Linked DNA regions of Drosophila melanogaster. The protein of the gene in region 1 interacts with the protein of each later gene in a pairwise test. Each region holds a gene or a part of one and is shown on either strand. Other genes may lie near its edges.

Region 1 (8,106 bases):
TATATCATGCGTCTGCTGTGGTCGGTTGGCATCCGATGTGGAATTGTGGAGGCCGCCAGCGAATTGGGAGATGAAGCACAGGATCTTGCCCGCCTTGGGGCGTTACATGTCATCCTGGTGGCGGAAAATGGCTCATTGAGAGTGAGATCTTTCGAGAGGGAACGATTCCAGGAGCGTCACCTAACAAGAACCGAACTGGTGGAGTTCATCCAGAAGATGCTGCGAAGTGATGGACTCAATGGGACCACCGTGGACAACTTCAGCCAGTTGTCAGCCTTGGGTAGTGGTGACAACAGAAGCAGTGGTGGAAAGGAAAGAGAACGCGGCGAGAATGGTCTGAGCACCTCCGCATCGAATGCCACCATCAAGAACAACTATAGCCAGTTGCCGAATCTTCAGGTGACGTTTCTCACCCACGACAAGCCAACGGCGAACTACAAAAGGCGGCTAGAGAACCAGGTGGCGCAGCAGATGAGCTCAACGCTATCGCAGTTCCTCAAGAAGGAGACCTTTGTGGTCCTGGTGGTGGAGTTGCCGCCTGCTGTTGTAAATGCCATTGTGGGGGCCATTAATCCACGGGAAATACGCAAGCGAGAGACTGAACCGGAAATCAACTATGTGATCGAGCGGTAAGTTAACAAATCAATTCTATTTGGTCTGCTTTCAACTGCAACTTCATCAATTCATACAGATTTTCGAAATACAAGCGCTACATCTCCGAGATAAACGAAGAGGTTGTCGACTATCTGAGCGATGCCAAGACTCCCATTGTGGCCTTGTACAGCATATCCGATTCCTACTACCGCGTCATCATCTAGCCAACATCAAATGCATAGAATCGGCTGAACTACTTAGTAGACCAGCCAGTAGTGTAAGCTCGAAAGTGTCACAAATTATTTTCGCCGAAATTCTACTTAACTGGCTGCCCTCCGTGCCATTAACACTTTTGTTTGTTTGTGCGAATCAAAATTGATGAGATTGTATGTTTCTGTATCCATTTCAAATGGTTGAGAACTTATTTCTATTCTGCCAATTTATTGAATGCCTTTCTAGTGGAAGCTCTCATTCATAAACACATATTTTATTATAACTTGGTTTAAAGTTAAATCCATACTAAAGCTGTTCGCTCCTAAGTCAAAAGAATAGTTGGAAACTAAAATGATTCTTTTTGAATTTGTATAATTATGTTTAAACAAGATTAAGTATCCGAACTTTCTTGCACTTCGAAATTAAAGTTAAGTAGAGGCTAATATTTTCAGAGAAAATTCTTAAAAATTGTTTTATAAATAGCATCTCGGGGTTGAATCGAGCAATAACAATTTATTTATACAGCTGACGGTCAAATAGGTGAATCTTCATCCAATATTTTATATACGTACAACTTTTAAGGACAACATTTTTTAGCCTACAATAAAATTTCAAGTTTTGAAGGCGTCTTTTCGCAGACGAAACATAAGGAAAGCTCACTGTACAAGTTAATTTGCATCTTGGAACTCACGTTCCGCTCTCTCCGGCAGATTTGTTGAGCGAACGGGGGATTCCCAGGGCGGGCCCTTGGAGAACCTTTCGCGAAAGACGCATAAAGCCGGAGACGGGATCGCGGCCAAAGTACTTGACCTGGATCTCCTGACCCACTTCCAGGTTTAGGGCAGAGGGATGGGCTATCTTGCGCTGATCCAGCTGCGAGTTGTGCAGCAAAGCGGGTGGCATACTGGGATAGAGGATGACCATTACTCCGGTGTCTCGCAATTCGGTGATTTTGGCAGTGTAGATTCCGCCGAACTCCAGGTCCGGCACTCGTTCCTTCACCATGTAGCCCTCGATCAGCTCCTTGGCCTCATCCATGGCTGCTTGCGAAGGAGCAAAAACATTGAAATGGGTCTCATCGACTGCTGTTAGGGAGGTGCCCGTTTCCAAGTAAATCCGCTTCATGTGAAGGCCGCTGGGACCAATTAACTGCGCCCTCTGTTGCGGCTCTACAGTTAGGGTTTCACTCACTGGCCAGCTCTCCTTGGGGTATTTTCTAAACGATTGCGAGAGTATTATAAAATTAGCATTTAAAACCATGTAGTTCCCTTAAGTGACGTGTACTCACCGAGGTTCCCTAATAGCCTCACTCATGATGTCCAGAATATTAGATTTGGCATCGGTGGCCTTTTGTAGCGATTCCATCACAACCTTAAGAGGAATTCCCGGGATCTTGAGGTCCGCCTGGATGGCGGTGAAGCCTTTTCTCGTGCCAGCCACCTTCATGTCCATGTCGCCCATGTAATCTTCGATGCCCAGGATGTCGGTGAGAATGCGGTAGTCCTGCAGGTGCTTAGTGTCGTCGTTCTCGAACTTTGTGACCAGGCCAATGGCCACACCTGCCGCAGGTGCGCTCACTGGAACGCCGGCGTCCATAAGGGCCAAGGAGCCACCGCAAACGCTGGCCATGCTACTGCTCCCATTGGATTCCAGGACTTCAGAGGTGAGTCTTACGGTAAAGGGATAATCATTCGGCAGGGTGGGAAGCAACGATCTCTCCGCCAAGGCTCCGTGGCCCATTTCCCGGCGACCCACTGGACCAATCCGACCCACTTCACCCGTGGCATAGGGCGGGAACTCATAGTGCAGCATAAAGTTCTTGGCCTTCAGGCCACCGCTATCTAAAGCAGCCAACGAGTCAAGTTTCATTGCGCTTTCCTGCGAGTCCAAGCTAACCGTGCAGAAGACCTGCGTCTGACCGCGCTGGAATAGGGCGGATCCGTGGAGAGGCTTGTACATGTCCACCTGGCAGGAGATGTTCCTCAGCTGGTCGTAATCTCGTCCATCGCAACGCAGACCCCGCTCAAAGATCAGTTCGCGAAAAATGGTTCTACTGGTCTGGTTGAACTGCTCGGTAATAAGCGACGGTTCGGTATCCGGAAACGAACTCCACACCTTGTCAATAACGTTGGAGCGCACCTCGTTAACCGCATTGTCACGAGACATCTTGTCGTGCGTCGAATCCTGGAAGATCTCTCTCAGCCGCATTTCGCACATGCTACGAACGGCTTTCCCCAGTTCGGGATCTACTTCGGCAGCCACTTCCACTTCGCGCTTCTGTCGACCATAGGCCTTCTGCAGTCGCTCGATCTCGTGGATAATGAATTGGGCCTCACGAGTCCCTTGTTTGATAGCCTTTAGAAGGTCCTGCTGAAGAACCACATTCCCCTTGCCCTCCAACATAACGACGAGGTTTTGTTTGGTGGCGGAGACTACCAAATCCAGTTGCGAAGTCTGCAGCTCCCGGCGCGTGGGGTTGATCAGCACCTCGCCGTCGCAGAGGCCAACGCTTTGTAGGATTAAAAGAGTTATAAGCGGTTACCAGTTAGATTCGTTCGTGAGTACTCACCGCACAGCTCCAATGGGTCCATTCCAGGGAATGTCACTTAGAGATAGCGCCATGGAAGCGGCATTGATTGCAAGCACATCCGGACTGTGCACCGCGTCCATAGCCAACATGTTGCACACCAGCTGTGTCTCCGTGCGATAATCTTTGTGGAAGAGCGGGCGTAGCGAACGGTCGATAAGGCGGGCGGACAGGATCTCTTTTTCCGAGGGGCCCAGTTCGCGGCGCATAAAGTTCATGGGTATTCTGCCAGAGGCGGCGTTTTTCAGTCGGTAGTCAACCACCAGAGGCATGAATCCCTGGCCGGGATTTGGCTTCGCCTTGGCCACCGCGGTGACCATGACGGCGGTATCGCCCATTTGGCACACAGCTGTTCCATTCGCAAATCTCGCCAGGCGGCCGGAACTGAAGGTCATGTTACGTCTGCGGAGGATTCAAGACTTTGCTATTGGAACTCGGAGTGGAGGCCACGAACTCACCCATTGCTGAAGTTGACTTCCACGGAGGGCGCTTCTCCGTTGGAACTGCTTTGGATTCCTCTCCTTCCTCCTGGGCAGGACAAACTTAGGCATTTGAGGCGATAGTTGAGCAGCTTCAGCGATTTCCGTGTGAAAATCATGGCCATTACCTAAAAGTGCCGGGTGATTCCGGCTGAGGCGACAGTTCTGTACGCTGTATTTTCATGGTTATTTAAGAAATAATTAGTGGTCAAAATCTTACAATAAAAGCCCTGTACGTTTCTTGAGACTTGGAAGTTAGACTTAGAGCGCCTCAACTATTTGTATTGTTTAATTCAGTTATCTCAAAACTAGAATGCCCATTTAAAACAAAGTAGAGTGTGCAACATGTGTGCGTTCGGCGTTGCCACCTGGCAAGGGTAACAACAAATGAATTATATAGACAAACTATTACACGGATTATGTCTTAGGAATAATGTAGTAAATATTAATACAGCGTATTTTAAAAAAATTAATTTCGTTTCCAATAAGATATTTAGAAGGGTTCCCAGAAAATGAACTATTAGCTTGTGTCCCCGATAATGTCAAATTTGCAGTGCTGCCAACTCTTAGCAATGTTAGTTACAGCATGCAAGAAACAGCATTTAAATTCCTTTTCAGAAACGAAGAATTAAGACGGTATGTTCTGAAAGGTCCTAAAACGACCAACAGAATGACGCGACGATGTCCAAATCGCCAGATCTAAGTAATTCAAGCTAGCTAGAAAATAGCTGAGGCATCAGCACTACACAGTCCGCCAAAATTAGTCCGTCTTTTTACGCGTTTAGAGTTTTTTACCGCGAGTCGAAGACGTCTTTCACTAACTCAACGACGGTCTTACAGAAGACTCCAATATTTTTCGAGCAGGCAATTCGCGGATCCATCGTTAATTTTGGGCACTTGCAGAAAGCCCAGTTGCGAACGTCGTCGTGTGTCGTCTTAGAAAAGCCACTCCTCCAACCGGAAAACCGCAAGAGCGTCGAGCCCTTGTTTTGCGAGCCTTTTCGAAAAAAGCTGGGAATTTCACGCCGTATTTTTCGTATCTTTTCCGTCAACGAAACGCCGCGTGTGTCGTAGTGTGCGTGTGTGTGTTCTGTGTGCCCGCCCATCTGTGCATGTGTGAGAGCGCGCCTGTGTGTGTGAATTTTGGTGAGAGCCGCAACAACAACCGAAAAGAAAACCAAAATCGACAAATGCGGTCAAATTGAAAAGAAAAACAAAAAATCAAAGAGTATTCTTGCGCAAAGCCAAAAGGCAAAGTCAAAAAAGAGCGCAAAGCCAAAAAAACGCAGATTTCCCAACGAAAAGGCCGGAAAATTGCCCACTAGGCGTGTCGCTGCTTCTTCTTGTTCTTTCAAATTGTTTATGCTGCAATTGCAGTGGTGTGCGAAAGGAGTGGTAGAGAGAGAGAGAAGGAAAAGCGTCTTATCAACGCCCGCTTTCTTATCAGAACCCACACATTTGTTGCGAAAATTCCAACCAGCCGAAACTCACAGTGAAGCTTTAAATAGCACATCAAACAAACAGGTAAGTCTCATTAATCAGCTTGAAATCACCTTATTTTCTACTGCTCCTCGGTGGTCACAACTCACTGGCTGTTCCCCTCCTTTGCACTTAAGCACTTAACGGTAACTGTAAATTACACACACGTTGGCCTTGTCTCTCCTGGCGATTAATTGCATTAATGCCGCAGGACTCGCGCCATCCCTGTCACCCCACGCCAATCGATTAAAAAGTGAAAGCAATCGGGAAATGCTTATCAGTAGGTCCTCCTTCTTTGCTTTTTAAATGCATAAATACCCATGCACAGATGCACACATGCAAGCAATCAGCCCAACAATGCACTATATGAATATTTATAGCTCATTATTTATTGTCTCGCTGTTCCCGTCCATCATTTGACCCGCTAAAGAGGGCAGGTTGGTAAATAAATGAAAAGTTATCGAGATAATCGGTGGAATTGTTGGATCATTAATAATTTGTTTATTTTTTAGTTAACCTCTGACAATTTATCAATGACTTAGTAGACATAAGTCAGCTTGTTATTTTTGCATTTACCAAGATATCCGGAAGTAACATCTATTGCTCACACAAAAATATATTGGGCATTCACAATAGTGATGACTCACTGCCATGCGTGTTCACTGATTATTTTGACTTCTAAAATCATACATTTTATATTTACGTAAAGTTTTCAGAGCTGATATAAACATTAATTCAAGATATTTATTTATTAATCACTTGCACACTACTTCCAAAATACTGTACGTTTTATGCAAAATGTCGGAATAACATCAGAGATGTGATGCACAGGAAAATTCCCCATAATTCATGAAACCTATTTCCAAAATTAACAGAAAACTATTTGCGGTACTCGAACTCAAAATCTGTATTTTTATAGCACGAACATTGGAAAAGAACGCAAACCAATTAGTGAAACCATTTTGAAATCACCATAAATCAGCGTGATTGCCTGGCAATAAATTCCCGTTTCCATTTGCAGCTGACAAATGCGAGTCGTTAAAAATAGTTTTTCCCCAAAAGCGTAACTTTCCCCCGCTTTTCAAGGGCGACCCTCGCAATGTCCCGATGTACTTTCCTTATCGCTTCTGCATTTCGAGTTCTTTTTTCTGTGGTACGTCATCGGCAGCCGGGTGTCTCTGATTGTTTGAGAATCGCCTCGCCGGCTGCATAATTAAGACGAGCTGGACGTTTAGCTGATAAACGTTTCCACTTTTCATCGGCGGATGGGAGTCAATGTGCCATTCACAGAAGACCTCTACTCTGGTACACAGATGGTGATTGTTAAAGTCCAAGATCTCTGATGTGTGACCCCATGGGGTGCCCTTTTCAACTGTCAGGTCGCAACTATTGTTTCCATGTTTCGAGGGCTTGCGTCACAGTTTATCGACTCGAGTTGCGAGCTGCGAGCTGTGAGTCCCGAGAACCCGCAACCCATTCCGACAGGATGACGTAGGCAATTGGCAGAAACATGTGTATCCTGGGTATCCTGGGCCCCGTGCAGACAACAATAAACCATCAGCGCCAACCCCATGGGCAAATAAAACCCAATCGAATATTATTATCAATGAGGGCAGGACCCAAACAACGAACGCCAGTTCGAGCGCGAAGGAGGGTTGGCCACATGCTGCTCTTCCCTTGGCAGGATATCATTGCCAGCACTTGGACCCAGCCCACTGAACTTCCCAATTCCAATTCCAATCCCGACCACGCCCACATGCCATCATCGTCGCCTTCTGCGCTAATTTGGCGCGACTTTGACACTTGTTAGCCAATATGTTTTTGGCTCGTGTTAATGGCCCAACGGGAATTGATATTAATTGCGCCGCACGCCCCTCACGCCGCCCGAACTGGGCGTGGTCGTCGGTCAATATTGTTGGTCTCTAGAAGAAAAAAAAAAACAACAGAAAACGAAAAACACAAATGGCCCGAAAATCAGCTTAAATCAATTTTTTGTGGTCGCCGCCTTTTGTTCACTTGCTGGTTTTTGGTCCAAAATCGGCTTACCAACTTCGGTGCCTGTTTTTCTTGTGACTTTGGGCTTTACAAAGAGGCTCTAAGGTTCCCTTCTCGTTCAATCTAATTAATCCTGCCTTCCTTGATTGAGAATATGGGATTTGCCTTGCCCTTAAGAAAACCAGATTTCCTCACCCTTTGGCAGCCAATGAAAACTGAAAGCGCTCCCAATGTTTCCATTTTTCCAGGCCCTGTGTTTTCCTTTCATGTGCCCTAATAAAACTAAATTCAATTAGAACTTGCAGTTCGAGTTCCTTGTGCGTGTGGGAAAAGTTGGAGTGAAATGTGAGAAAAGTTTTGCGGAATATGTCGGAAAAGTGAAAGAGGGATGGGTAGGATCAGTGGCAATGGGCGGATGGCACATGGAGGGCTCATTAGTTGCCAAACGAAATCTCCGGAGGGCATGCAAATTTAATCGAATCACTTCGAGTGAAAAGCCACTTAATGATGGTTCCTTTCCTTTTCATTTCTAATAGATGAAAAGGCATCTGCCTAATGGGTTTTGAAAACAAGCAGCGTGAAAGGTTCCTTCCTTTAGGTCCTACTAATATGAACATAACTTCCCACGGCACTGGAATTGATTCCTTATGATTCATCTCTTCCGTGCTCCTCATCGTTTCCAAGTGCCTAGCATCCGCCTGACACACCCACCTGCCCAGTCTGGCGTAGTTCGATAAGAAGAAACAGAAATGCCTGGTG
Region 2 (6,977 bases), 6.5 Mb from region 1:
TTTGGCCAAATTCCCGAACACACCCACAGACCCAAAGACACACAGCAACTGGGTCTTATGGGCGCCAATTCCACACTCAACGAAAATGTCTTAGCTTGGTCGAAGAGTGTACTATTTTGTGGTAAGAGATTTCTTAATAATCACACTTTATTATTATTGAACATTTCTCATCTTCGAGTTGCGCAGAAATCAACATCAAATTGGTAGAATTCCATTTAATTTCGCTGTTTGAAATACAAACAAAATCTACACGACTAGCCTTCTTGGGGGGAATGAGCAATGTTAGGTGTCAGTTATTTTTCCCAGTGCAAAATGTGGGGGCCAAGTAAATATGTGACATGGTTTTTAAGAGCAATTTATTCGGCTCACGTCCAATCAAATAAGGTCTCATCTGCGACTCCGACTCCGCCACTATTCTGATTCTATGTCAGCGGCATGTCTGAACCGTGCCTGTGAACTTGGAGCGAAATGAATTGGAGTTCTCTTTTTACGGCCGTAAAAGTCACGAAGTGTGTGTAGCCTGAAATGTACTTTCTTCGCCTAATTATGCAGCTGTTCTGCTTCTGCGGCTTCTTCTTCGTTTACGTCTTCAGCTATGCTGTGTTAATTTAATTACAATAAAAAGTAAATTAACTCACTGTGGCCCCGTACCGTATCTATCAATGCCCACAATTTTCATGGTCGCAACTTTTAATGGCCCCGCAGCTGGAGAGATTGCCTATGCAAGTGGGAAATTTCGAATTTGCATTTCCTGCTCGTTGAGTTTTCACTTTGCCAGCGACCAAGGGTCTCCGTCTCATCATCATCATCATCATCATCGTCATTCCAATGGCCCGCCGCTGACTTCATCCAGAGTCCGCTATCATTAAATGCAATGATTCATCCATCCATCCATCGGAATAACCAGCGACTAAGTTCAATTGAAATTGAACACATACACATATGGAGGACTCAGGCCGAGAGAACAAGAACAAGTTTTGGCCAACTAGATGCAGCCACACCTATAAAGAACCGATCAGAAAACCAGCCTAGACCCAAGACAAAGACCAGATCCCATATACCCAATGCTAGATACCACCAGCACCCCACTCCGGATCCGAACTCACCACAAAGCCATAACTGACAATCAATTCAACTTAAGCTGGCTCTTTGCCGCGCCTTGGTCTTTTTGTCTAGACTCCGCGTTGCTGTCTTAAGTCTTTTGATTTGTTTTCCTTTTTTTTTCTCAGTTTCTGTATTTGTTTTCTTCTGGACTGGAATTGAAATTGTCGAAATTGAATTACGATCGCTGCCTGTCGGTCCGCTTCTAAACGCTTTTTTTTCTCTCTGCCCCGGAATGGCTTGATATCTTTTTTGCGGGGGGCCTGAACAGCAGCCACAAATCAGGGAGCCCCGTTAGCGGTCATAATAATACTGTTAACTAATTTACGCCACAAAAAACGGCGGCAAAAAGCGACGACAATGGGAAAATCTAGAAAAACAATCCAGCAAGTCAGCTCGAAGAAGCAAAATACATTTTGGAACTTTTTCAATGAGCTTGGCCATGGCTTTAACAGCATTCTAACGGTCCGGCCAACATGACATGGCTAATTAGGTGCGAGATTCAGTGAAATGGACCCGAAACGGAGGCTGGGAATTTGCATTGCGAAGGGCCAAAGGCATTAGCTTGACAATAATCTGCAGTTGGGGGGGCCCTGAGAATGGTGCTAAAGCCCCAAATTATCTCAATCGCCAAAATCTCCATTAGCCCGCAGCTCATTTTCGATGAGAAATCAAGTTCCGCGGCACGAAATTTTGAAAGTGATTGTGAGCGCAGATTGGCAGCTGCATCGAAATTGCAAAATGAATGTGAAAGTTGCTTAGCCGCGTGGTTATTCTTTATGAGCCGATATAGGAAGAGTACACGCCGGAATAAAGTATTTGCCTCTACCCAGCGAAAAATGTCTTTCAGACCTGTTATGGCTTTCACATCTTGTTCGAAATTAAATCCATCGCTCTCCGGGTCATCGAAATACGTGACAAACTTTATTCTTCTTTAAACATATATTGCAATCATTTATTACAGAAATGAGTAGATTAAATTGAATGGTTATATAAAGTCAAAGTCTTTTGCGTTATTGCAAAAAAAAAGAACCCATAAGCTATGCAAACTATTCTAAGGCGCATAAAAAGTTATTTATGTGCTTAAAGTATAAACATAAAAACAAATAATGGCTATAGTGCTCGATCGTAAGTTTAAGGCAGTTTTTACGAGGAAATGACCAGACCAAGACGATGCTAGCATCTGCGGGTAGAGCAAACAACCAGCGATCCCCGGAGAGCTAAGAACCCAGCTCCGCAAAGAGGCAATGGCAAAGGCAAAGACAGCCGGCCAAACAAACAAACAAACTGAAACTTGTATCTGTGAGATACACACTGGCACACAGCGAGAAATACTACATAATGATATGTGATATAAAAATGTTGGAAATATAATTTGAACTATTAAAAAACAAAATATCAAATATTTTGAATGAAACAGTTTACTAAATAATTAAATAAATTTGTTTTATTCAATTTGCAACAAGGATATATCTTTTTACACTATACTAATGCTATAGCCATTAGCTGAAACATGAAATGAAGCCATTTGATGAAACAAAACATAAATATTTAAAATATGATATATTGCTTGTATATTAGATTTATTATCTCGCTTTTTTTCCTGTGCAGCGGAGCAGTGAGCTGCAGAGAAAATAAAAGACAAGACAAACCGAGCCGAGTGGAGTTGAGTTGAGCAGCAGGCACTTGGCTGTTTGAGCGACTCCGGCTTTGGCTGGCACTTGGGTTCTGGTTTTGGCATCGAGTTGGACTTCCACTTTGGATCGCTTGGGCTCTGCAGGGCGCTGAGCGCAGGGAGAGCGGCAAAGAAGTGCCAGCAGTGGCAGTGGTGGATGGAGTGTGGGCTAAGATACATTTGCTAGACAAAACCCGCTCGCGGGATCTTTGACCTGCGATGGTGACGACCGCGCGAGCAGAACAGAACAGAACAGAAGAACAGAAGAGGGGGGGAGTACAAAAAAACAGAAGAACCAGAAGGTATTAGTATTATACCCAAAGGAATGGAACGTGGACCGTGGTGGATACTCGTCGGTTTCATTTGGTTCGAGGTGGCAAGTGCTGCCGTTGGCCTAATACAATTAACAGTAAATACCAGTTGGCCAGTTGGACTCTAATTAGCCGCTCGGTGACACTCATTCATAACTTGGGCAAAACACTTACATTACAATGTCGATCTGCTGGCTACACCGATGTCTGCATATTTTATATAGACCATATAGACACTGCTCACACACACACTCACGTCACTTGGATATTGGCCACTTTTTCCTTTTTTTATTTTTTTTTTTTTTTTGTATCTATTGGATATTCCGCGAGTCAACAAATAACCACATTTGCATGCACTTCCCGGTGGTCATTAAAAAATATTCGCCTTTGCACAGATATATGTGTGTATATTATAGCCCGTTAAGCCGTGAATATTTCAATTAGATTTCCAAATGCGTTTTATGTGTTTTCATATTTTTTTTTTGTAATTTTCTTCTGGGAACTGTGTGTTAGGGGGCCGCCAGAAAAAAATCGAATCGACGCGAACCGCGGATCGGTGGAGGCAACTCTCTCGGAGCTCGGCTCGCAGCGAACTGATCTGAACTTGGCCTCGGCCGCCATCTTAGCCCGCTTGCTTCGCCTGGAAGCGAGTTGGCCGGAGAGAGCCGCTTTCCAGGCGGAGCGGAGCGGTTCAAGCCATGCCAATTGGAATGGCAAGCAACAGTTTCAGTTCAGTTGGAACAGAGCGCTCAGTTGGTGAGGACGTGTTCGCGGAGGTAAGTGACTACCGAAGAATATTTTAATAAAGCATCTAAAATATCATATAAAATATGTATTAAAGTTTTTTGAAAAAATATGTGTTGGATTTTTCCTAATTGTTTATTGTGTAAAATTTTAGTTTTCAGTTTTAGCCAAATACCAATTTATAATCAAGTATCTCTACATCTCAATCTCACTTTTACACTCTTGATATTCTCTCTTCCCTCCCTGGAACTGAAAATCAGCTCCTAACAAACCACTCTTGAGTTACGAACAGAGTGTTTTCGGCCCAAAGAGCACGAGAAGTATAAACAAACAAAAGCGGCTCTCCCAGCGGTGGCTATGAAAATGATCGGCAGCGACTACGTACTGGAAGCCCACAACATTTTCCACACCACCGAGGTACGTTCTCTTTAGACTCGTGAAAACCCCCTGCTATTAAACCTTTATTGTTTTCTTTTTGGCCTGAACAACAGGTGGATGGTGGTGGCTGTTTCAATGGAGCCGGCAATTCGGCCCTGGTGCTCAAAGGCGTCAATCTAACCGTGCACAGCGGCGAGGTTATGGCCATTCTGGGCTCGAAGGGTATATTTTTAATTTACATTTTGTTAAAACAAAATAATAATAATCATTTTACCAACTTTAGGTAGCGGCAAGAGAGCTCTTTTAGATGTTATTTCTAGACGTGCCGATGGAGCAACTCGTGGTCAGGTGCTACTCAATGGATCTCCGCTCTCCAAGGCATTGTTCCAACAGAGATGTGGCTATGTCACCCAATCCTGCACCTTTGTTCCTGGTCTAACGGTGGCCCAAACACTACACTATACCCCCACTATAGTGAGTATTTGTATAAAATAATGAATATGAAGAGATTTTAAGTAATAACTGACTGTGTTAATACCCAAACCCTTCTTAGTTGAGTGGCTATCTGAAGAGTTCCAAAGTGCGCCAAGTGCTGGCGGATTTGGCCCTTTCCCAAGTGGCGCATAAGAGAGTGGAGTATCTTAATATCAGTGAGGCACGGCGTCTGGCTATTGGAATACAGTTGGTCAGAGATCCTGGTAAAATGATGAATATATCACAAAGATTCCTTAAATAACAAAAATGTTATTTTAGTCATGCTATTGCTGGATGAGCCGACCCATGGCCTCGATCCCTTGAGTGCCTATCTGCTGATATCCATTTTGTCCAACACGGCCAAGAAGACGGGCTGTGGAATTCTTCTGTCGCTGGAGAAACCTCGCTCCGATGTGTTCCCATTCCTGGATAGAGCCCTATTCCTCTGCCTGGGCGGAGTGGTCTATTCAGGAGGCACTCGTGCCATGCTGGAGTACTTTCATGGCATCGGATTCCCTTGTCCACAGCTCGAGAATCCCTTGATGTACTATCTCTGCCTGTCCACTGTGGATCGTCGCAGTCGGGATCGATTCCTGGAGTCTAGCCAGCAGATCGAGGCGCTGGTGGAACGTTTCTCTCGGGAAACACCGATCTCGGATGCCCCTCTAAACAACATGGGTTCTGGGAAAGTGCCTCTGGCCTATGGAAAGCCTGGAGAGCTCAAAGTTTGGGTTATGCTGTATCTGTAAGTTAAACTTACTTCTTTTTTTTCAAATATGATAAAATTCTTGACTTCGTTTTTAGGAAACTATTAGCATCAACCTTCTCCTGTGGACTCGTTGGTATGAAGACACTATTTCTGCGCCTTTTGCTTCTTCCATTGGCTTTAAGCATCCTATGGGCATTTTACACAGATGTCGGGGTAAGAAACTTAATTTTTTATACATTTTAAGCATTTTTTAATATAATTTTCTAGGACGATTCACATGGATTCTTTACAAAAAACGGCATGATCCTTAATATTTTGGGGCTGTCGTACGGTTGTGGAATTTTGACTACCATATCTTTATGTAAGTTTCGATTTTCCCTTCAATGTTAAGCTGTCTAAGCATATTTTACCATAGTTCCGATTTGGCGCAAGAAGTTCTCGCAGGATACTCCAGAGGGTCTCTATTCGGGCACAACTCTACTGATTGCCTACAACTCCGTGTCTATACCATTTTCCGCCGTATCTGCCGTCATAGCCAGTTGTGTTGTATATCCGTAAGTTTCATCTCTCTGGGTATCGGGACTCGAAACTATATATCTATTTCTTTCAGTCTGCTATTGGATGTGAAGTACAACAATGGTACTGTCTTCGCCTACTTGCTAGTGGCCCTGTGGTCCAGTTTTGTGCTGGCGGAACAGCTCACGATCGCGTTCCTTTTGGTGGTCAAGGTTCCCTTCAACGCAGCCATTGCAGTGACCTATGTCCTTGTCATAAGTATTGCACTGGCTAGTGGAACTGTGCGGTGAGTAAGGCTGTGTTCATACTATAGTTTGAGTTACTTGAGGTGTCTGTACCAATAGCTCCTTCAAGGGACTTCAACCTTGGCTGCAGGACAACACGAAGGGCACTCACACACGCTACGCATCCTCATTGCTGCACAGCATCGCCTTCCAGTCGAGGAAACTCAACTGTACTCCCACCGCCTCCGTGATCTGTCCCAAACCCGCGGATTTCATGCACGAGCGACTGGGATTGCCGGATCCCGATGTAAGTGGGATGATAATATGGTAGCTTATCGGATTATTATATTATTTATTTTACAGGAAACCATCGATGTGGCCGCTTCCTGCGCTTTTGCTGTGGGCTTGGCCGCCTTTAACATGCTGGTTTACCTATTCCCAATGCCTAGATGTGTTCGCCAGAAGTTCAAGGACTAAGGATTCAGATATCATGTTTCCAAGTTTTCACTAGATTTAACTTTAATTTAATAAAATAAAAACTTCTCATTGTATCTATTTAAAAGTATAAACATTTGTTTTTGCATCGAAGTTTACTTTAGGGTACCAAAAAATATCAAACAATTTTGTTTACGAATTACATATCATTTTATTTACAAGAAAACTTAAGACTAATATAATTTCGTAGTGAATTCATTGAATATTGTATAAAATAGTTCAATGGAATTTCTGAAAACATTCCCCAGCCGGTCCTCGATACGGTTTTCGCTGCCAATTCGCTTCAATTTAACAATATATTCTTTTTATTTAAATAACTAGATACACGCATGGAAATTCATTAGAACGCA

Evidence for each region. Proteins that work in one complex are often made in the same cells at the same time.
Region 2: the proteins of PNPase (region 1) and CG31121 interact in a two-hybrid assay, tested with the Drosophila melanogaster proteins (one large-scale study listed by BioGRID).

The regions. Positions count from the first base shown.
Region 1 is NT_033777.3:31,400,560-31,408,665, forward strand, and holds PNPase (polynucleotide phosphorylase), read right to left. Parts: upstream 4,894-8,106; 5' UTR 4,712-4,893; exon of another isoform or gene 4,686-4,711; intron 4,182-4,685; exon of another isoform or gene 4,094-4,181; intron 4,046-4,093; 5' UTR 3,999-4,045; coding exon 3,853-3,998; intron 3,797-3,852; coding exon 3,377-3,796; intron 3,317-3,376; coding exon 2,096-3,316; intron 2,024-2,095; coding exon 1,495-2,023; 3' UTR 1,278-1,494; downstream 1-1,277. Other genes in the region: Gcn2, read left to right, coding at 1-629, 692-818.
Region 2 is NT_033777.3:24,890,924-24,897,900, forward strand, and holds the start of CG31121 (uncharacterized protein), read right to left. Parts: upstream 3,683-6,977; 5' UTR 3,262-3,682; intron 913-3,261; exon of another isoform or gene 652-912; intron 1-651. Other genes in the region: CG11069 (uncharacterized protein), read left to right, coding at 4,189-4,248, 4,323-4,431, 4,493-4,683, 4,763-4,907, 4,963-5,428, 5,488-5,605, 5,660-5,753, 5,808-5,946 and 3 more.